Cricetulus griseus: one gene and its partner. The protein of the gene in region 1 interacts with the protein of each later gene in a pairwise test. Links are inferred from orthologs where the notes say so. Each region holds a gene or a part of one and is shown in the gene's direction. Other genes may lie near its edges.

What was found.
Region 2: the proteins of Ubac1 (region 1) and Cpsf6 interact in a two-hybrid assay, tested with the Homo sapiens proteins (2 studies listed by BioGRID and IntAct). The link is inferred for Cricetulus griseus from reciprocal best matches to the Homo sapiens genes UBAC1 and CPSF6.

The regions. Positions count from the first base shown.
Region 1 is NC_048599.1:137,393,313-137,403,877, reverse strand, and holds the start of Ubac1 (ubiquitin-associated domain-containing protein 1), read left to right. Parts: upstream 1-4,379; 5' UTR 4,380-4,524; coding exon 4,525-4,662; intron 4,663-8,976; coding exon 8,977-9,097; intron 9,098-10,216; coding exon 10,217-10,290; intron 10,291-10,565.
Region 2 is NW_023276806.1:138,942,407-138,952,867, forward strand, and holds the start of Cpsf6 (cleavage and polyadenylation specificity factor subunit 6), read left to right. Parts: upstream 1-3,440; 5' UTR 3,441-3,537; coding exon 3,538-3,597; intron 3,598-10,461. UniProt on the Homo sapiens protein: Component of the cleavage factor Im (CFIm) complex that functions as an activator of the pre-mRNA 3'-end cleavage and polyadenylation processing required for the maturation of pre-mRNA into functional mRNAs.

The DNA.
Region 1 (10,565 bases):
GGTGTTTTGAGCTACATACTCCCTTGCGGAGCTGTAGCTACCTCAGGACACTCTAACAATGGTTGACTATGGTGGCCAGTGTCTAGGCCAGCTCAGGGAGACCTTAGGGGAAGAATAGGAACTCTTTAGGAGTTGGATCCGAGGATCTGGTACTGGCTTTTGCAGTGAGCAGGACAAGTGATCAAACCCCTGCTTTCTCCTCTTTCTAGGTTTAAGAGTCTCCCACTGTAAAGGGTTGAACCAGAGATATACTTCTCAAACTGGATCCCTTTGGTGTACCCTAAGGGAGCATGGAAGCTAAAAAGTCTGCCCTTCTATTTCCTTCACCTGTTGCCTGGAAAGCACAGTCATCCCTCATAGCCCATTCCCAGCACCTTCCTCTGGCGGTGCTGCTCCTCAGGACTCTGTATAGTCCCGCTCCTGCAATGTGACACTGTTCCTGCAGCTCCAGCTCTGGGCCCTGCAGAGTATCAGTAGATTAGAAGTGGTCATTCCAAGAGTCGGGGTCCTGGGTCACACACACACACACACACCTGTACACCTGCTCATGCACTTAATGTGCACCACACACACCCATGATGACTGGCACGCCTACAGACACAAACATGCACACAGCCATATTCCCATATGAATTCATCCATACACATATGTGCACAAACACATACACATGTATACATCCACATACACGCTTGAACAGTATGCACACTCAGGCCACACACCCAGCCAACTCAAATACCTGCTCTGAGCTGGACAGCGGCTTACCTGCGCCGTCTAGTGGCCTGCTCTGGATACTACAATATCCCCCTTTTTATAAAATTTGTACCCTGGGGACTCCTTCCTGTTCATGGCTGGCAGGAACATCTGGATCAGACTTGATGCCTTTTTGCAGGGAGACCCTTCCCAGATTGTCCAGAATATCTAATGCCAACATAATATGCACTCTGACACTACATAGAGCTCAGTGGTTTAGGGCAGGTCTCCCCAGGGTGCTTGCCGAAGTAGAGGATGGTCATGGGAAAGAGGGCCATGATCCTGTCAGTCACCATTCAGGGATGCCAACCTCCTCCAGTGAATTCTTGGTGCTGGGGCAGAAGCCAATACCTGGTTGTGGCAGCCATCTCACCACAAGTCTCTGGCCAGGGCGAGCTCTTTCCTGATCACAGCCCTCTCTGGCTCCTAGCTGGGCCCTGGGGCCTGCTACACTCAGACCAACTGAGGTAGGAGCTGATAGCCTCTGAAAGTACCCATCTAGCTTGTTCTCTCCTTAAAAACCATATGGGTAGGAGTGTGTCCCTAAGAGTGTGAGTGTTGCAAGCTACAGGTTACTCGGACCCTACTCATCAAGTTTTGTGGGCTAGGGTCTGGGGTAAGGGGTCTAATGTGAAGGCAGTATGGCTTTGCCTAGGAAGACCTGTATAATGTGACGTCGGGACTTTATCCTGGTCCTTTTAGCTAATGGAGGTTCTGAGAGAGTCCAGAAACCTCTCCGTAGATTCCTTTCCTCTCCGAAGTGGTTAAAACTGATTTGAATTGCTTTAGTCAAGAGACTCAGACCCTTGTTTGGCCCACCTTAGGAACACAGGATCTACCAGACAGGGAGCTCCACTACCTTCCCCATTACACCCCTGGCATAAATAGCAGGTACACAATAAACACATGCCTTTCTGTGGGCTGGCAGGGAGGGGGCAGCATGGTCTCTGAAGCAGAGACTGAGACTGAGCAAGGTGCAGAATGACACTAAGTGGGGAGACGCTGAGTCTCCATGTAAGCCCCATGCCTGAACCATGCTGGTGAGGAGGGGGAGGACTAAGTGGGTGCTCCCTTGAATACTACATCAGCATCTACATAGCTTACCCATACCAAGAGAGCTGTGACCTCCAAGCTTTTGTAGCAAGGCTGACTTGGGAGGCTGGGCAGCCCATCCTTCTTCAGAGGGCCTAGTGGTATCTCTGGGTCCACATGAAAGCATGGGGCTGTTGGAGGAAGGAACTTGTTGTTGTCCACTGGGGAGGGACAGGGACATTAAAAGTCCACTGTCTCCACAGTTTTTACTTGATTACCCCCCCCACACACACACACACCTGGGAGGGGATCCTGGAGAGCCAGATCTAGCACATGGAAGAGACTTGTCTCATGTCCTGTTTGGGTACTCCCTCCAGCATCTCCAGTGGCAAGGTGCTCATATTGACTTTTGGTTCTGTGGAAATATTTTGCCAACACTCTCAGTATACAAATGCAACCCCAGGGGACACAGTCATGACAGGCTTCCAGGAGAAAAGTGTCCTAAGGTCTGAAGAATGAGCTGAGTTTCCTGAGCATTGGAAAAAGAGCAAGTGATTGGTTGGGGAGAAGCCCAGGGAACTTGAAGACCAGCTAGAGGGGCTTCAGACCCATTGCTCACAACCCCCTTTGCTCAGTTCTGGGACCACCTGCCAAGACTCAGATCTGTGGCAAGAGCCTTTACGTAAGCATTTCCACAGATCAGATGGGATGGACCAGGATGGATTATGGCACTCTGGAGCTAAAGAATACTGAGTGTTACAGCTCAGATGGAAAGGTATTCTGGCATTCGGGAGCCAAAGAATACCACAGGTCACAATAAGCATAGCAGCTTACAACCCTGATTCAGGGAAAGGCTTCCCCGGTTTATCAGCTCTGCTCCAGCAGGAGAGTGTTTCCCCTGCAAAGTTGTTACAGTTCTACTCCAGGAAGGCTTCCCCAGCGAAAAGTGTTACAGCTCTGCTCCCTCTGCCCCACCCAGGGTCATCTCTGCTCTGGCCAAAGAAGGTCTCACACAAACCTTCCTAAGAGATTTATTGGGAGGGAAGAATCCAGAAGAGTGGCTGCCCTCTGCCAGGCTGGCCGCCCAAACAGCCACAAGCTGAACAGACACAGGGTTTATATAGGGATTCTTAGGAGGGTGGAGTTTTTCCAGAGTGGGGATTGGTCAGATTTCAATCCCTGAGCTTAGGATGCCTAGATCTGCTCAGGGATTAGTTAGTTTCTACACAGGTTTAGGGTCAGATTTGGCTCTGGTTACAGAGCCAAACTGTGTTTCTTTCACTGGTCCTTTTTAGCCTTTTGGCTCTAGTTTTATTTAGGGCCAGGATGTATTTCTTTGACTGGCTCTGATTCCAGGGACAAAGCTGTGTTTCTTTTGCACTAGTTTCAGGGTCAGGGTCCATTTCTTTGGTTCTGGTTGCAGGACCAAAGTGTGTTTCTTTGGCTCTGCTCAGGGTGTGTTTCTTTGGCTGGATCATTTTCCCTACACTTTACCTGCATGGCTGTGTGGACGGAGACCCCAGGTTGGTGCAACACACCACTCTGTATTGTACTCAGCTAGAAATAGGTCCTACAAACCCTTCTGGGACTGTCTAAGGTCAGTAGAAACACTGCTCGTGACAGGATCTCATGTACCCAAAGATAACAAAGAACTTGACCTCCTGATCCTTCTACACCACCATTCCTGGCTCAATGAGAGTTGTTTATTGTTTGTTTGTTTTTTAATTTAAGAAGATTTTGTGAAGTGCTTTGCTTGCATATATGTATTAACATTACAGTCGAGCCTTTGGAAATCAGAAGAGGGCATCCAATCTCCAGGATGGTTGTGAGCTACCATGTGGATCCTGAGAACCAGTCCTGGAACCTCTGCAAGAGTAGCAAGTGCTCTTAAGCACTGAGCCATCTCTCCTGCCTGCGTCTCTCTGTCTCTCTGTCTCTCTGTCTCTCTCTCTCTCTGTCTCTCTCTCTCTCTCTCTCTCTCTCTCTCTCTCTCTCTCTCTCTCTGCTTTTCTAATGCAGTCTTTCATGTATTCCAGGGTGGCCCTGAACTCATTATGTAGTCAAGGATGATGTCTCTGGTTCTTCTGGTTCTGCCTAAGTGCTAGGATTACAAACACGTGTCAGGTTTATGCCGTGCTGGGGATCAAACCCAGGACTTCGTGCATGCCAGACAAGCACTTACTATCTGTGACACATTCCTAGTGTCCTGACCGAGACGTTTCATGTTTTTTTCCTGCTAACTCTGAGATCGTGTGTGCTTGACAGACCAACACAACAGGTATCAAGGCTGGTGGTGTTGAAGGAAAGAAGCAATGGGGAACTACAACTCCCGGTAGGCGCCTGACCTGCTTCACACATTTCTGTTAATGGGCCCGGGAGCCTTCTTGGGAACTACATCTCCCGGCATGCTCGTTGCACTTACGTATTTCCGGCGCGGCGGAGGCTACAGCGGAGCACCAACTAAAAAAAAACCACATCTCCCGGCATACTCACGGGCGCACATTACGCACTTCCGGCGCGGCTGCGATAGCGCGCCCCCGGCGGCTACTGCGACGGCAGCAGCGGTAGCGAGGGACAGCTCCGGCCTCTTCAGTGACGGGTGGCCAAGCCGACAGGAGCTGGGGGGGGCGGCGGCGGCCAGCGAAGGAGCGCGCGGCGGCCCGGCCCCGCCCCTGGTCCTCCCTCCAGCCCCGGTGACCTTCACGGGTTCGGGCGGCGGGCGCAGGCTCGGGCGGCGGCGCGATGTTCGTGCAGGAGGAGAAGATCTTCGCGGGCAAGGTGCTTCGGCTGCACATCTGCGCAGCTGACGGCGCCGAGTGGCTGGAGGAGGCGACCGAGGACACGTCGGTGGAGAAGCTCAAGGAGAGTTGCCTCAAGCACGTAAGGCCGAGCCCCTTACGACCCAGTTCCATCTCTGCCTCCTTCCTGGAAACCAGAAACCTAGACTCCTGTCCCGGATTCCGCCCGAGTCCCATCTCCACCTAGACACCAGACCTTCGCATCCGCCTGGGACCCGACCCTGGAGTCGGCTGGGCAACCTGCAGCACCTAGCTGTCGCTCCTCCGGGTCCGGGCAGCGCCTCCCGCTCCTTTTCGGAGAGAGCCGCAAACCTAGGATAGAGTCCGACCCGGCTAATGGGAGAGCTTTATTTAATTTCTGCAACATCCTGAGGTAGTGAAGGCAATGAGTGAACGGAGACTGGGAGAGAGAAAGCAAGCGCTCATAGTTTTCTAGTATTAGGGCTTGTTTGTTGTGGGGATGAGGTTTTTGTTTTACATTAGCTTTCCCCAGAAGCTGAGAAGTAACTAGATCCCTTTATTAAGAGGGCCCGCACCTTGCCCGAGAGCCAGCTGCTAGGAGCCCCTGGCCTGGGCTTCGCTCTTAGCAGCAGTCACTTAAAATAGTGTCACTCTGGGACAAGTCCCTGGGCTTCTGTTTTCTGCTGGGGCAACAGTTGATTGAGTGGCAAGGTACAGGACTAGGGTCTTCTCACCAGCAAGTGGCTTTTGTGAAGTTTACTTATTTGCTGTGAGCTTTGTACTATAGTTAGCTTCTTTTAGCTTTAGGTAGTTAAGGCTTGGGACTGATAATTGAAACTTTCCTGTCTCTAAACTGCTTTCAGTTAAAGGTGAGACAGATGCTTGTTAGATCCTGGTGGCCTATGGAAGCGCCATACCTGACATGATTAGTGCCAGAGTTTATGTTAAAACTGGCCACAGCTCTTCAGCAGGGACTCTGGAAGGTTGTAGTAAAATGCAGCACTGTGTTGCCTCTAAAGACAATCTCCCAAGTTTTCATAGCAGCTCCTTGGAAAGGGTAGTTTAAAATCTCCTTTATGGAGTCAGTCTGTAGTGACAGAGGGCACCAGGAGATCTGGTTCAAGTACCTTCTACAACACACTAGATGTTGAATTACCATGGGTCTTCGCTTCTATGGTTCACCTCAAGGAGGCTCACATGGTCAAGGGCAAAATGTATTTAGACCGCTTTCTTGTTTTTCTTCTTAACAAGTCACCGTGGTCTTGCTATCTAGAAAACCCACAGGCTCAACACAAGCCTAAAGGTTGAGGACTTCTTGGGCATCTAGACTGTACTCTAGCATTTATGCTTGTCTGGTACTGTGCTGTGTCCTCTGCCACCTGGTTGGGTTCCTCAGGGCCAAGCTTGGAGTAACTCCAAAGCCAGCGTAAGGATTGAGGAAGTCAATGAAAATGTGTTGTCAAACCCAGACCACATCAACATGGGATGACCCCTCCATTGGTGTGGCATTTTGCTTAACTCACTAATAGTGTGGATTTACATAATCATTGTGGCAATATTTTATGAAGGATGAGAAATGATTCACAAATACTTACTAATAAGTTCCAGGAGCAGTGGGGTAAATTAGGCAGATGATTTTGATATGATGCTAATTATTTGTGATATTTAATATTGCACTTGTATCATTTTGAATTGTGTGTGTGTGTGTGTGTGTGTGTGTGTGTGTGTGTGTGTGATTATCCTTCTTTAAATTGAGATTTTTATTTTACTATGCATCTCCAGGTATGAGGACTGAAGCAGCAGGGGGTTACAGCATAATTAAATAACAGAACTAAAGAGCTGAGCCATCAGAACTGACTCTCCTCCAGGTCCCATCGTCCCTAGGAGTCACAAAGCAGTCATTAGAAGAGAGGGGTTTCTACAACTGCTGTCTTAACTTGTCCTTTCTCCTCACCCTCCTGTGCACACTCATACTGGAGTTATTACTATTATTATTTCTTCTTTCCTCTCTACCTGAGGGGTAAGATATATAGTCTTTAAAAATTTTTCTCCTACAGCACTCCTGGGAGTCTACTGCTGTATCAGGGAGGGGCTTGTTATTATAGTTCTTAAAGAAATGTATTTGTTTTTTGTCTTTCCTTTTTGTTTTATCCAAAGTGACATCCCCATGGTATTCCCCAGCTTCCATTGCCTAAGTCTTGGAAAGGGACACAGCAAGCCCTCTTTCCTAAAGGGGGTTAGTGGTGGTATGCAGAGACAGGTGAATCTCTGTGAGTTTGAGGCCAGTTTTGCCTACAGAGCCAGCTAGGTCCAGATAGCCAAGGCTGTTACACAGAGAAACCCTGTCCTTTGGGGGCTGGGCATAGACTGTTTTCAATCTGAGACTGATGGAGGATTCTAGTGTTCTAAAATTCGAGGATCTGGGGGAAACACATGCTTCAGCTTTTTCTTCTGGTTAGCATCCATATGTATAGAGGCCCTTTGTTGAGTGTGTATATCATGGTATCAGAGATGCCTTCCAGAACATCCAGGAAGGGCCTGAAGAACCCTGTGTCCCAAATGTGCTGTGTGACCCATTCTATGTGGGATGGGCCAAAGCACTAGTGAGCCATCTCATTAGGTTTCTTGGGGGTCTTTCTTTCTTAGTTTAACACCGAGGGACCTATAGCATCAAGAAACAGTTACAGCCCTTTTCCTTGTTCTGAGTTTGGGGAGGGCCTGCAGCTGACTTAGTATGATGTGGTACCTGGGCCTGGGAAGGCTGTGTGATGCTGGGCAGTTAAGTAGTGAACTTGTGGAAATGTACAAACTCAGGTGAGTATACCTGGTGTTGAACACATAGGCAGAGTGAATCCTCATCTTTGTCATGTGGCAGCGACATTGTGTTCTTGGTCTTTGTCTACTTGATAGTCAGGCAGATGATGGTACGGCCCAGAGGCAAGCAGGACTCTATCATTGGAGATTGTGTGTTTGCATTCTGTATGGGCGAGTGCTGGAGCTTGGCTGAGATCATGAGCTATGTTTGCCAGGCCTCTGCCTACAGTCTGTAGAAGGGGTTGCTCTGGTCACCTGCAGGGTCCTTTTGGAGATGCTATTTTCCTCAGTACTACTGATAGTTTGCTTTCTAGTTCTTGTCTACCTCCTCTGACTGACACTGTAACTAGGTTTCTAGGGCCCTAGGGACATAGACACAGCTGTGAGTCCCCTGGGCTACTGTAAGTTGCATCTGGATTATGGTTATCACTTGGGCCCAAGGCAAAGCTGAGGCCAGTTGTGCACTGTGCTCTGCTGAGGACTTTGTGGTATTCCTTGCGCAGGAATCGTGCTAGCTCCTGGAAAGCAGTCTTCTTTTGGTGCATTTCCTCTGATTTTCCTGTGTCTGCTGAAGAAGGAAAAGCAAATGCATAAAGCAACTGGATCTTCAGATTCTCAGGAAATCACAGACATATTTTCATCTAAAAGTCATTTTCCATGGCCAGGTGTTGGTGGCGCATGCATTTAATCATAGCACTCAGGAGGCAGAAGCAGACAGATCTCTGTGAGTTCGAGGCCAGCCTGGTCTACAGAGTGAGTTCCAGGACAGCCTCCAAAGCTACAGAGAAACCCTGTCTCAAAAAAACAAAACAAAACAAAAGTCATTTTCAAGATCTTTCCAAACTAAAGTGATTTGGGTTACAAGTGCTTATCATCAGTAGGATCTTGTGTTCCCAAGGTCTTAGCCATCCCCAGGAGTCTACTGTGAGCTGGTGATAAGCTTAAAGGCCTGGAGGGATCAATGCTTGCTGACATTTCACTCAGCCTTTTTTTTTTTTTTTTTTTTTTAAATCATCTGTGGGGATTCTTTACTGTAATTTATGCTTTGTCTGGGCTAATAAGAAAACTCAATAATTCCATGAGCTGGGGAGATGGCTCAGTCAGTAAAATGTCTGCCGTACAAGCATGAGGACTTTGGTTTGGATCCCCAGCACCTATGTAAAAGCCAGTGGCAGCAGCACATTTAATCTGGGCATTGACTTGGGGTAGGGGTGGGGCAAAGACTGGAGGATCTCTGGAGCTCATTGGCCAGTCACCATCGTCAAATTGATGAGATGAGGCAGGTTCAATGAGAGATGCTGTCTCAAAAATAAAGTGGAGAGAAGTTGAAGAAGAGCCCTTCCTTAGCCTCTGGCTGTCATATCCTTGTGGACACACATATACATACCCACGTGAAAACATATACACTCGACAAGTATAAACCGCGCGCACACACACACACACACACACGCACGCACGCACGCACGCACGCACGCACGCACGCACGGAGAGACACAGATAGACAGACACAGAGACAGAAAAAGCCTTGATAATTCCAGGTGTGGCTTGAGGTGTTATGCTCTGTTACTCCTATCACAATTCAATTCCTATTTATATATCTGTGGCTTAATTCTTCCTCCAGGGTGCTCATGGGAGCATAGAAGACCCCAAGAGTGTGACTCACCATAAGTTAATACATGCAGCTTCGGAGAGGGTGCTGAGTGACACCAAAACTATCTTGGAAGAAAACATCCAGGACCAAGGTAAGAAGGCCTTGAGAGACAATATCCAAAGCATAGAGCCTGCGTCCCAGTGTCACCCAAATGGTGCTTTTCTGGATTTAGACAAGAGCAGGAGAACCAGATTGACTCTGGTTTTGTTTGTTTATTTATTTATTTATTATTAAAAGAAGTGTGGGTATTGGTGTACTTGTGAAAAGTAGCAGAAACCTGACAGACATCTGAGAAGCCAAATGAGAGTGCTTGCTATGTTTAATCCTGTTTTAAAGCAAAACTAGACTCTGAAGCTTTGGTGGCTTTATTTTAGTGTTGGAAGTGCTCACAGTAGCTGTTTCAGGGTCTGAGTGAGATACTTCTGTTCTGCATACCCTCCTCTTCATTCATGCTTTGCTATGGGAGAAAATCTGTTTTCTGTGTGTCATGCAGATGAGGACTTCAGACTGTCATCCTTTATGATGAGCTATAACCAAAGCTCAAAATGGAGCTGGAAGGGACCCCCCCTCTCCCTCAAGGTGAACTATGGACTGGCTATAGTTCAGGGTTTAGGTTAGCCTCACAGATTTTTAGGACTGAGTCCTTGTGTGAGATGTCCACCAGTGCTCTGTATGGTTGTCAGGGATGTGCTTTGCCAACCTCTGAAGCCACAGGTTATCTGTGGTTACCCACCAGCCACTTCAAAGCTGAGGAGGGAGAGCTGGCTTGGCTTAGGAGGGACCCAGAGGAAACCCTGCTTTCTGACATTAAGCATCTAGCACCATTCTTGTGGTGTGTACATGTGTTCATGCAAAGATGTGTGTACATGTATAAATACGCATGTGGAGGTCTGGGGTTTACATGACTTTATTCATTGAGGCAGGGCATCTTTCTGAACCTGGAACTTGTCTACATGCCTATTCTGGCTAGCCAATTTGCTTTGGGGATTTCTTGTCTCTGCCTCTAAAGTACTACAATTATGGATAGACTGCCCTGCCCACCTGTCATTTATGTGGTCCTGGGGATCTGAACTCCAGTTGTCACTCATGTATAGAGAGCCCTTAAGCCACTGAGCTATCCTCCCTAACTTCTGTCTGATACCTTTTGTGTCATTTATGGCTATGAAATGATAACTGACTTCATAGAGATAACTGTTAAATTTTTTTCTAGATGTCTTGTTACTGATAAAAAAGCGTGCTCCTTCCCCACTTCCTAAGATGGCTGATGTCTCAGCAGAAGAAAAGGTAAGTTTCAAAGTTTGGAACTAGTGCTCTTCTCTTCACTGGTAGTTATTTCTTGTTCTTCAGACTTCCTGGGCCTATATAGTCTCTCCACAAATGTGTGCTCTAAGGGGTCCTTCATCATGGCCGAGCCTGTTCTGCTTTGAGTGTGTTTGTGATTGGTGTCTAGTGACAGAAGAGCTGCCACTGGTCTGGAAGCAGGGGAAGAGTGAGGGCATCATCCTTAGTGGTGCTTCCTCCTGTGCTGCTTTCTCGTGTGACTCCTGTGCTCTTGTCTT
Region 2 (10,461 bases), on another chromosome or scaffold:
GCCTCTGCCTCCAGAATGCTAGGATTAAAGGCGTGTGCCACAACCATCACCACTACCCACTGGGCAATGAATTTTTTTAAGTGAGGCAATTGGTTGCTTTCTCCTTAGTTTTGTGATTGGAACTAAGACAGCTGCCTGTTTTGTTGTACAACAATTATTTGAACCAGAAGGTTTTGATGGCTGCACAGGTGAAAAAGATAAAGAAAAGAGAGCCCTGTCTTGTATTTTTGAAAATAGGCAGATACATCACAGACTTCCTAAAATATTTCATTAGGCCTTGGGCTGCTTGTTTTTTGTCAACTTGACACAAACCAGAGCTGCCTGGAAATAGGACATTCAATTGAGGAATTGCCTAAATAAAATTGTTCTGTGCCGAGGTCTGTGAGAGGCCATCTTGACAAATGAATAATGTGGGAGGGTCCAGTCTAGTCTGGGAGGCACCATCCCTAGGCTGGTGGACCCGGCCTGTATAAAAACAAGTAGGCAAACAAACTACCAAGCTGAGCATGAGCCTAAGAGCCAGGCAGTAAGCAGCATTCCTCCATTGTCTTGCCATCCCTCAATGATAGACCTGAAAGTATAATACAAAAAAAAAAAAAAAAAAAAAAAACCCTTTGTGGAGCCAGGTGGTGGTGGCACACAACTTTAATCCCAGTGCTCGGGAGGCAGAGGGAGGCTGATCTCTGTGAGTTCGAGGCCAGCCTGGTCTACAATAGCTAGTTCCAGGACAGCCTCCAAAGTCACAGAGAAACCCTGTCTCAAATAAAACAAAAAACCAAAACCTTGGTGGGGGCTGGAGAGATGGCTCAGTGGTTGAGAACACTGACTGCTCTAAAGAAGGACCCGAGTTCAATTCCGAGTAACTACCTGACACCTCACAACTGTCTGTAACTCCAGGTCTAGGGGATCTGACACCCTCATACAGACATGGATGCAGGCAAAATGCCAATGCAAATGAAATAAAAATAAACATTAAAAATAAAGATCCTTTGTGATGGCACTCTTGGTTGTCAACTTGACCACATCTGGAATTAACTAAAACCCCAAAAGTCAGGGCATATCTGTGAGGGATTGTTGCTTAATTTGAAGTGGGAATTTCTTCTTCTTCTATTATTACTACAGTGTTACAGTGTTTCTATGTGTAGCTTTATAGACCAGGCTGGCCTCGAATATATATATATATATATATATATATAGAGAGAGAGAGAGAGAGAACATTCTATAAGTTCTGTTATTCTAGAGAACCCTAATACCCTTTCCTCCTAAGTGGCTTTTGGTCAGAGTGTTTTACTACAGCAACAGAAGAGGTAACTGGAGCCACCTTGTAAACCTATATTGGACTTCTGACCCCCAGAACTGTAGGATAGTAAATCTGTGTTGTTTCAGGCCCTGGCATTGTTACTAAGTTGTTACAGTAGCAATAAGAAACTAGCACAGGGAGGTGGAAAGACAGTTTATGTGCAACATGTAACACACAATTGTTTAATTTCTTTTAAAGACATTTGGACTTTTTATTCCATGTAGACTTGAGACAAAAAAAAATTTAGAACATCCATCAAGAAATTATGATGATAGTTGGGCATGGTGGTACATGCCTTTAATTCTAGCCCTTGGGAGCCAGAATCAGGCAGATCTCTGAGTTCTGAGTTCCAGGCCAGCCTGGTCTACAAAGTGAGTTCCAGTATAGCCAGGGCTACACAGAGAAACCCTATCTTAAACAAACAAACAAAAATCAAGATCAAAGTATCCACACAATGGAAGGAGAAAAATGACTCATAAAGCCAAAGCCATCCTCTGACTTCCATACATGAACCATGGCATGAACCTGTCCACACAACATGCATAGGCACAGCATAAGTAAATAAGTAAACCTAGCCAGGTGGTGGTGGTGCACGCCTTTAATCCCAGAGCTCAGGAGGCAGAGGCAGGTGGATCTCTGTGCGTTCAAGACCAGCCAGATCTACAAGAGCTAGTTCCAGGTGAGCCTCCAAAGCCACAGAGAAACCATGTCTCAAAAAAACAACAATGAAAAAAAGTAAAAGTAAAAATAAGAGCTAGAGTTATTAGATTTTTCCTTTCTAATTTACACCAATCTTTCAAATTTTGAAAATTGTCAAGTAAAAAGGTACTCTGAAGTTACATTTGAAAAATCATCAAAACTTTTTTTTTGGGGGGGGGGTAAAGACAGGGTTTCTTTGTGTGGCCCTGGCTGTCCTGGAACTCACTTTGTAGACCAGGCTGGCTTCAAAGTCATGGAGATCCACCTGCCTCTGCCTCTAGAGTGCAGGGATTAAAGGCACATGCCACCACCACCTTCTGGTAGCCACCAAGCTTTAATAGCCATAACAAGAACAGATGTTACTTGGTTTATTGATGATTCCAGACCAATCTGCATCTGGTGCCCTTTAAAAAACAAACCAATATTCATTTATTTGTTGGTGGGGTTGGGGGTAGCCAGAGGCGCTGAGTAGATGGAGGATTACTTAATAGGAGTTGGTTCTCTCTTTTATTCATGAGATTCATGAGAGTGCTAGCCTTCACAGCTAGGATCTTGAAACAAAAACAAAACACAGCTAGGATCTTTACCTGAATGAGCCAGGCCTGGTGAGTTTTTCAATGGGAAGGAAAGAAATGGGTGAGGCTGTTGGAAATAAGAGAGAGGTCTCTGAATCACGTACCGGTGCAAGAAGGTGTGTGTGTACCTTTACGAGCCACATAACCCCTAGTTAAATCACTTATGTTCTATTAGGCCTTAGTTCTCTATCTGTAAAATGGGATGTTTGGACACCTTTTTAAATTTCCCTTCTAGCTCAGCATTCTGAATTCAGGAGTTCCTAGATTTAAGATATGTTTGCTTTGTTGCATGAGCTCTAAAAGGAAGTTAGAAGCCTCGAAAGAAAACCTTCTGCACACATAAAGAGGAAAAAAAAAAAGCAAGGGCAATGGGGGAGGAAGGAGGAGGATAAGGGAAGAAGCGAAAAGACAACCGACTGTATACAGAAAAGAGATGCAGGCATGAAATACACAAATAACTCAAGGTACACAAATACACAAAATTCGGTTGTCTTTTAGAAGCAGAAATAAGACATTGCCCCGGCCATCACATTTTGCTTTTGATTGTGTACACATAATAACTCCCACCTCTCGAAGCCTCAGAAGCAAAAAAAAAAAAAATAGGAAAAGCTGAAAACGTAAATTTTTTGTTTTTTAAAGAAAAAAGTGCAAGAAGCAGCTTGAAACCGTAGTCTCCGGACAGAAGCGGGTTGTCCCGGCATGCGGGATGGCAATTTCCTGTGCCACCCCGCCATCCTGCCGCTTAAACCAGCACACAAAAGAACCAGTGAGCGCCCTGGGAGCCGCAGCGAGCCCTCCGCCGGGTCCCCAGGCCCGCCCGCTGGGGCCGCTACGCCCTGGTCTCCGCCCCTCGGAAGTGACGTATCGCGCCCCGCCCCCACCGCTAGATCCGCTGCTGCTGCCTCGGCGGGCCGACCTGCAGGAGGAGGCGGCGGCAGCGGCGGCGGCCCAGGCCGAGGGAAGATGGCGGACGGCGTGGACCACATAGACATTTACGCGGATGTGGGCGAAGAGTTCAATCAGGTACGGGAGGGTCTGGGCTCCGCCACGGACGCCGACGCTGCGGCGGCCTGGACGCTCGCCACCAGGGTCGCCGCGGGAGGGCCGCGAGCCGGGCTCGGCTGCAGACCGTGCGCCCTTGGCGCCTCTGGGCCGCGCCGCTGTGTGAGTGTGTGCGCGGCGCGGCGCCCCCTCACCCCTTGTTCTCGCGCGTCGTTTATGCGGGCCGCGGGCTCTGGAGCGCGGGGCCCGGTCGCCGTGCAGCCGCCCGCTCGCCGGCTCGCCCGCCCTCCCTTCCCTCGAGGCGGCCTCACGCCCCATTGTTGGCTACGGCGGCGGGCGCTTCCCGCCGAGCTAGGCCGCGTGTGCGGGGCGGGGAGAACGGGCCGCCGCGCCCCCTCCCCCGCCGCCCGCCTGATGGTGGGGGGAAGCAGCCCTGGCTGGCCCGGCGCGCGCCCGCTCGCCCGCCCGCCCGCCCGTCGCCTCCATCCCGGCCCTGCCGCCGCTGGGTTCCGATTCCTCCCGTCGCTCCATTTTGTGTTTCTTGTCGGCGCACGGTCGCCCTCATGGAAGGCCGCGTTCACAGCCCTTTGTATCCCGCGCGCCGGGTCTCCCGGGCTCCTTTGCTCGCGTTGGCGACAGGTTTCTGCGTGGTGCCCCGGTCCCCGAGGCGGGGAGGGAAGGCGGCTTAGGTGTGGGTACGTCTGCAACAAGTCATCTGACTTCTGGACCCACTGAGTTCATTTTGAAAAAGTCTCACGGTGCGATGGCCCGCCGTGGCCACCGAGGGCTTGCGGGGGCCTTTGAGGCCCGGTCCTTGGCCTTTGTGAAGGGAAATAATAATCTGGGAAGATAAATGGCTTGCGCTAAAGACTTGGATGCTCGGTGGTTGGACAGAACAAAAAGATGGTGGTCTCTCGCTAACAGATCCCGGAGGCTGAAACGGAGAACGTCCACCCGACATTCTTACCGTGTGATAGCTTGCTTACGAGCCGTCGTGGAGGTGACTGTGTTTTGAAAGCCGAGTGTTAGCCCGGTGGGGCCCTACTTCACGATTTGAAAGGCTTGAGAAAGTGAGAAGTATCAGGTTTTCCGGTCTCACCGGCCACGGTCGCCTAGAACTAGCTGGGATGTCTGATGGTGAACATCCTTGGACAGGTCTAGTTACCGGAGTTAGTAACGTTTAGCCTCTTAGTCCTCTCCATATTTTTATTGCATTTTGTATGTTCACGTCACTTTTTTTTTTCCCCAAGTTGCATCCAACGACAGTGCTGCTAAAAGCTGTGGGTTTTTTCTTTTTAATTTTTTATTTATAAAAATGTCCCAGGTTCAGAGGAGAAGCTTAATAAGATGCAATTGATTAATAGCTTACCTTCTAATAATCGTATTTATGACTAGGGATGCAAGATTTAAAAAAACAAAACAATGGAAACTCTTAAATCCTTACTTGCTTTGTTTTTCAACAATGACAGTGTGCCTCTGGTTTAAGTATTAGAAAAAGAGAAGCAAATTTTGATAGGGTTTAATTACTGCTGACTTAGACACTAGATATTTTTAAATGTAATTAACCCGTTGCAATAAAACGTTAAGTTTGAAAATCTGTTTTTTATCGTGCCTGAGTTGTTAGTTACAACTTAGAAATTTTCTTTTGAGTGCTACAGAAATAGTAGATTAGTTAAGACCTCCGGATCCCCCCCCCTTTCATCTATCATGACATGTAGCATTTCCAAAACACTGTCATAACTGTGACTAAAGGAAAAATAAAAGTTTGAAACAGTCTTCATTAGCTTTTTTTAAAAATAGTTTTTTCCCAAGACAGAGTTTTTCTGTGTATCCCTGAATGTCCTAGAACTCACTGTGTAGACCAGGCTGACTTCAAACTCAGAACTCAGATCTGCCTGACTCTGCCTCCAGAGTTCTGGGATTAAAGGTGTGAGCCACAACTGCCTGGCTATCATTCACTTTTTTCACTAAGAGAACATATTGCTTTGTTTTTGTGCTCTCAGTAAGGAGGAATTGGGATACAGTTTTAGAAATTAAGGTTTCTCAATTGGTCATGGTGGCACAAACTTTAAATCCCAGCAACCAAAGTTGTGCTTTACCAAAATGCAAAATAAGCTTATAAAACTATGCCTATTTTAAATAGTAAATGGAGAACAAGATTAGTGTCTACACAATTTCAGAGAACACCAAGTACAATTAAAACTACTGCTCACAATAGAGAACAAAAGATGTGTTTAGAGGCTGGAGAAGGTGGCCCTGTGGTTAGAGGACAGTTGATCTCTTGAGTTTGAGGCCTGCCTGGACTACAGTGTGAGAGCCTGTCTCCCAAAGAAAAGAAAGATAAGCTTTCTTCGTTATCTCTATGAAATATGTTCAGACTGTTGAATACTTAATTTAGGAAGGACAGTATACTTATGATATAACTGGATGTGGTGCTAGCTAGCAAGAGGTCAAGAAAAGATAACACTTTTTTGATTCCAGTGAGGAACTACTTTGTAGGCCTCCTTTTTATAAGTGTAGCTTTTCATTGACTTGTAGCAGACATGTGTCTGCTACATGGTTGTGTAATTTTACAAGGAAAATCTTTGTAGGTTTAGATAGATTAATTGGAAGGGTAAGTAGAGGCTTTTTCCAAAATCCCTTGTTTGCAGCTCTGGGGACTGAACCCAGGCCCTTGCACATCTAGGTAAGCAAGCACTCTACCACTGAGCTGTATGTTCACTCCAGAGGTATGTTAGTGCTTGCTCTGAATTCCCGAACAAAAAAGTAGCCACCAAAAGATTGTCAGTTATTTTGAGATTTGTCATGTTTTCTATAGATGTTACTACCATTGAAGTGTTTTCATGAGATCCTACCCAGAATTAGAAGCAACAACAAAGTTGTTGATTGATTTAATCTCCCTCTTGCTTGTTTTTCTGTCTTGTAGCTCATGTTGACCTAGAACTTGTGGTACAACTGCTGCCTCAGCCTCTCCAGTGCTGGGATCCCAAATCTGTGCTAGCCATCAGGCTCAGTTCTTTTCCTTCCACTCAGGCCCTTGCACATGATAGGCAAACACCTTATACTCCTGTCCTGCATCCCTGTTATTCTCTTTTCTCTTACTAGGTGGTAGCCTTATTTCTACTAGCTGCTGTAGTTACCAATATGATATTTGATTGTAGTTGAGCAAATATTTTTCAGAACTAATCATTAGCAATTTTTAGTTATTTTGATTTCTAAACATTTATACATATTAGTTTTTTTTTTTTTAATTTTTCTGGGCTGTGTTTGTGTACGCCTTTAATCCCAGCATTTGGGAGGCAGAGGCAGGCAGGCAGGATCTCTGAGTTTGAGGCCAGACTGGTCTGCAGAGCCTGGCTCTGCCTCCCGAGTGCTGAGATTAAAGGAAGAGCCACCGACGCCTGGCTGTGAGCTGCAGTTTTAATTGTATTTTGTATTCTCTGAAATTCTGTGTGTAGTCACTGGTCTTGTTTTGCATTTTGGCAAAGCACAATATTGATTGCATGAAGTATGAGACATGAGTATTAAACGCTTTAATTTGGGATGGGATGAGACTAAGTGCATTTACTTTCTGTACTAGGTGATTTTTAAGAATGGAGAATGAAGACAAGAAGGCATAGAATCATATGGGCAGCTTGGATCTTAAAAGGTTTTGGATGTGGCCAAATGGAGAATAGTTTCTCCATGGAAGGAGAATTTGAACTACTGAATCTGTGCATTTATTACTACTGACTTTCAGTTAAGCAGAAAGCAGAATGCTCCCCTCCAGATTTATTCTTTTATGTGTATGAGTGTTTTTGCCTGCATGTATGTATTTGTATGTGCATTCCTGGTGCCAGTGGAGGTCAGAGGAAGGCATCAGATCCTTTGGAATTGGAGTTGCAGATGGTTGTGAGCCACCATATGGGTGCTAGGAACCCAGGTTTCTAGACAGTGCTCTTAACCCCTGAGCCATCTGTCAAACCCCAAAGTCCAAAACTTTTTGAGTATCCTGTTGTTTTTTTTTTTTTAAAGTTAGATATGCTCAAGTTATATTCTGTAATCCAAATAGTATATATTTTGTTTATCTGGGGGTCAGGTGCTTTTAATGTAGAATTTAGTAGTATCTGGTCTGTCAAACTGTGGGTTATTGATCGTAAGCAGTGCTGATTTAGTTGATCTACTTACTTTAAAAGTAAATGGACCCAGCACTCGGGAGGCAGAGGCAGGTGGATCTCTGTGAGTTTGAGGCCAGCCTGGTCTCCAGAGCAAGTGCCAGGATAGGCTCCAAAGCTACACAGAGAAACCCTATCTCAAACCAAAAAAAAAAAAAACAAAAACAAAAAACCAGTAAATGGAGTAATGACTGGGGTTGGGTCAGTTTTGGAATTAAGGATTTAGATGTCCTCTTTTGTAAAATTTTGTTGAATCATTTCAATTTATACTTAGTCATTGTTTATTGTAAATGAACTATTTTTCTTGTGGAACCTTATGATAACTTAATGAAAATAGTTGAAAGATAAATCAATAGGGGCTGTTAAGATCTAATTTAGCATTCTGCAGGAATTATAACATTTAATATGCTTAGCATACTCATAAAATAATGTTTTCTGGGGAAAAAAAGGATCCACATTTTCTATATCCAAGAATTCAGCTGGGATCTAAAATACTGCCTGGGTGACATTGCACATGCATTGCATATGTACAGACTTCTTACCGTTATTCCCTAAACCAGTACAGCATAATCACTTTTCCATAATCATTTACTGTGTTAGAATTTTTAAGAAATCTAGAGATTAAAGTATATGAGAGGAAGTATAGTTTATAGGTAAACACTGCACCATTTTATATAAGAGGCTTAAACATCTGCAGGTTTTTGGTGTTCTTGAGTGGGTTGGGGATATGTTGGAACCAGTCTCTTGCTACTGGGTTTTATGTGCTAATTTTTCACATGGCATTGAACAACCTTTGTAATGAGGGTATAACTCCCCCATCTCTTAGAGTTCTTTAAAAGGAATGGCTGTTAATACTTTTTTAAAATAAGGGTATTTTGAAATTGGTGCTGTCCTTTACTGGTAGTATCTAACAATGTACATATGGTATTAACTGTGATTCTAGGAACACCAAAACCAGTTTGGGCCTATCAGGGAAAATGAATACTTTTAATATCTCTATCAGAATAATCCCAATAATGGTATACATTAAATACAACTTATCTGTGGTATTAAAAATGTATGGGGTGGGGGCTGGAGAGATGGCTCAGAGTTTAAGAGCACTTGCTGTTCTTCCAGAGGTCCTGAGTTAAATTCACAACTATCTGTAATGAGATCTGGTGCCCTCTTCTGGCCTGCAGGGATATGCTCAGACAGAACACTGTATACATAATAAATAAATCTTTAAAAAATGTATAGAGTGTGATTAGGGGAAAATTGTCTAATAACTTGAAGAAGATAGTGCTAATAAAAAGATTAAAACATTGCCTTAAGGAAATGAATGGGGGACTGGAGAGATGGCTCAGAGGTTAAGAGCACTGACTGCTCTTCCAGAGGTCCTGAGTTCAATTCTCAGCAACCACATGGTGGCTCACAAACATCTGTAATGAGATATGGTGCCCTTTTCTGGCATGCAGGCATATATGGAGGCAGAATCTTGTATACATAATAAATAAATAAATCTTAAAAACAAAGAGAGAAAATGAAAGGGAATTTCATCATTTTTCTATCCATCATACCTTTTAAAATTTTTATTTTACCTAAATGTATGTCTGTATGAGGGTGCCAGGTTTCTTGGAACTGGAGTTGCAGACAATTGTAAGCTGCTATGTGGGTGCTGGGAAATGGACCCGGATCCTCAGGAAGAGCAGCCAGTGCTCCTAACCTCTGAGCCATCTCTCCCCATCATACTTTTTAAGTGTATTCTCTCACTGGCAACAGATTTGTGTATCTTGTAGGAAGAAAACAGTCCTATATTGTAAAGGAGAAGTGTACCCCTCCCACTTTCTCCCCCACCCCCTTATTTCTTTTATCTTTTTTCAAAGCAAGTGTCCCAGGCTGGCCTCAAATTTATGGCAGTCTTCTGCTCCAGCCTCCCAACTGCTAGGATTGCCAAAGCTGAGTGTACAGCCATTACTGGATTTTGATAACTGCATGTCATTAGAATGATTGTAGTGATTTAGAATAGTAGGAATTGAAAGAAAATACTTTGTTACTCTTTTCACAAACCCTAAGAGTTGTCCTCCCTCCCTCCCTCCCTCCCTCCCTCCCTCCCTCTCCCTCCTCTCTCTCTCTCTCTCTCTCTCTCTCTCTCTCTCGTCCTGGAAATGGTTTTGTAATTCACCTGCATCTGCCTTCAAGTGCTGGGATTAAAGACATTTGGCATTATTCCCTGCCTAAGAGCTGTTCTTGATAGAAGTTAGAGATGGCACTTTATTGATGATTAGGGTCTAGAAACATGGGTGAGAAACAGATTGCTTTTGGAATTTGAAACGGTTAGGATATATTGAAATTTTGCATTTTAGAATGCCATTGAAATGTCTTTGAAAAAGACCTTTCACATAGCAGAAATTGATGTTGTTGGCTTTCTTTGACAAAGTAGAAACCTTTTAGTTTGTTTAGTAGGGTTTGTGAGTTCATTTTTATATGTGACCTGTGAGGCATTTTGCATAATTTCTGAATATGCTCATTTTCACTTTAAATAGAAACGGTTACATGTGTTCTGGATTTTCTTTAAAATGTGAACAGTACTTAAAATAATGAAGCTAAAAAAGGAAGACTGCAGATACCAGTAAGAGTATTGTTTGAATTGCATTCTTAGCAATGACAATTATGTATTCAGCTTCATTATTTTTTTTTCACCAAGTCCAATGTATACCATTGGGGTTAACACAGGCTGTGGCCCTGGAACAAA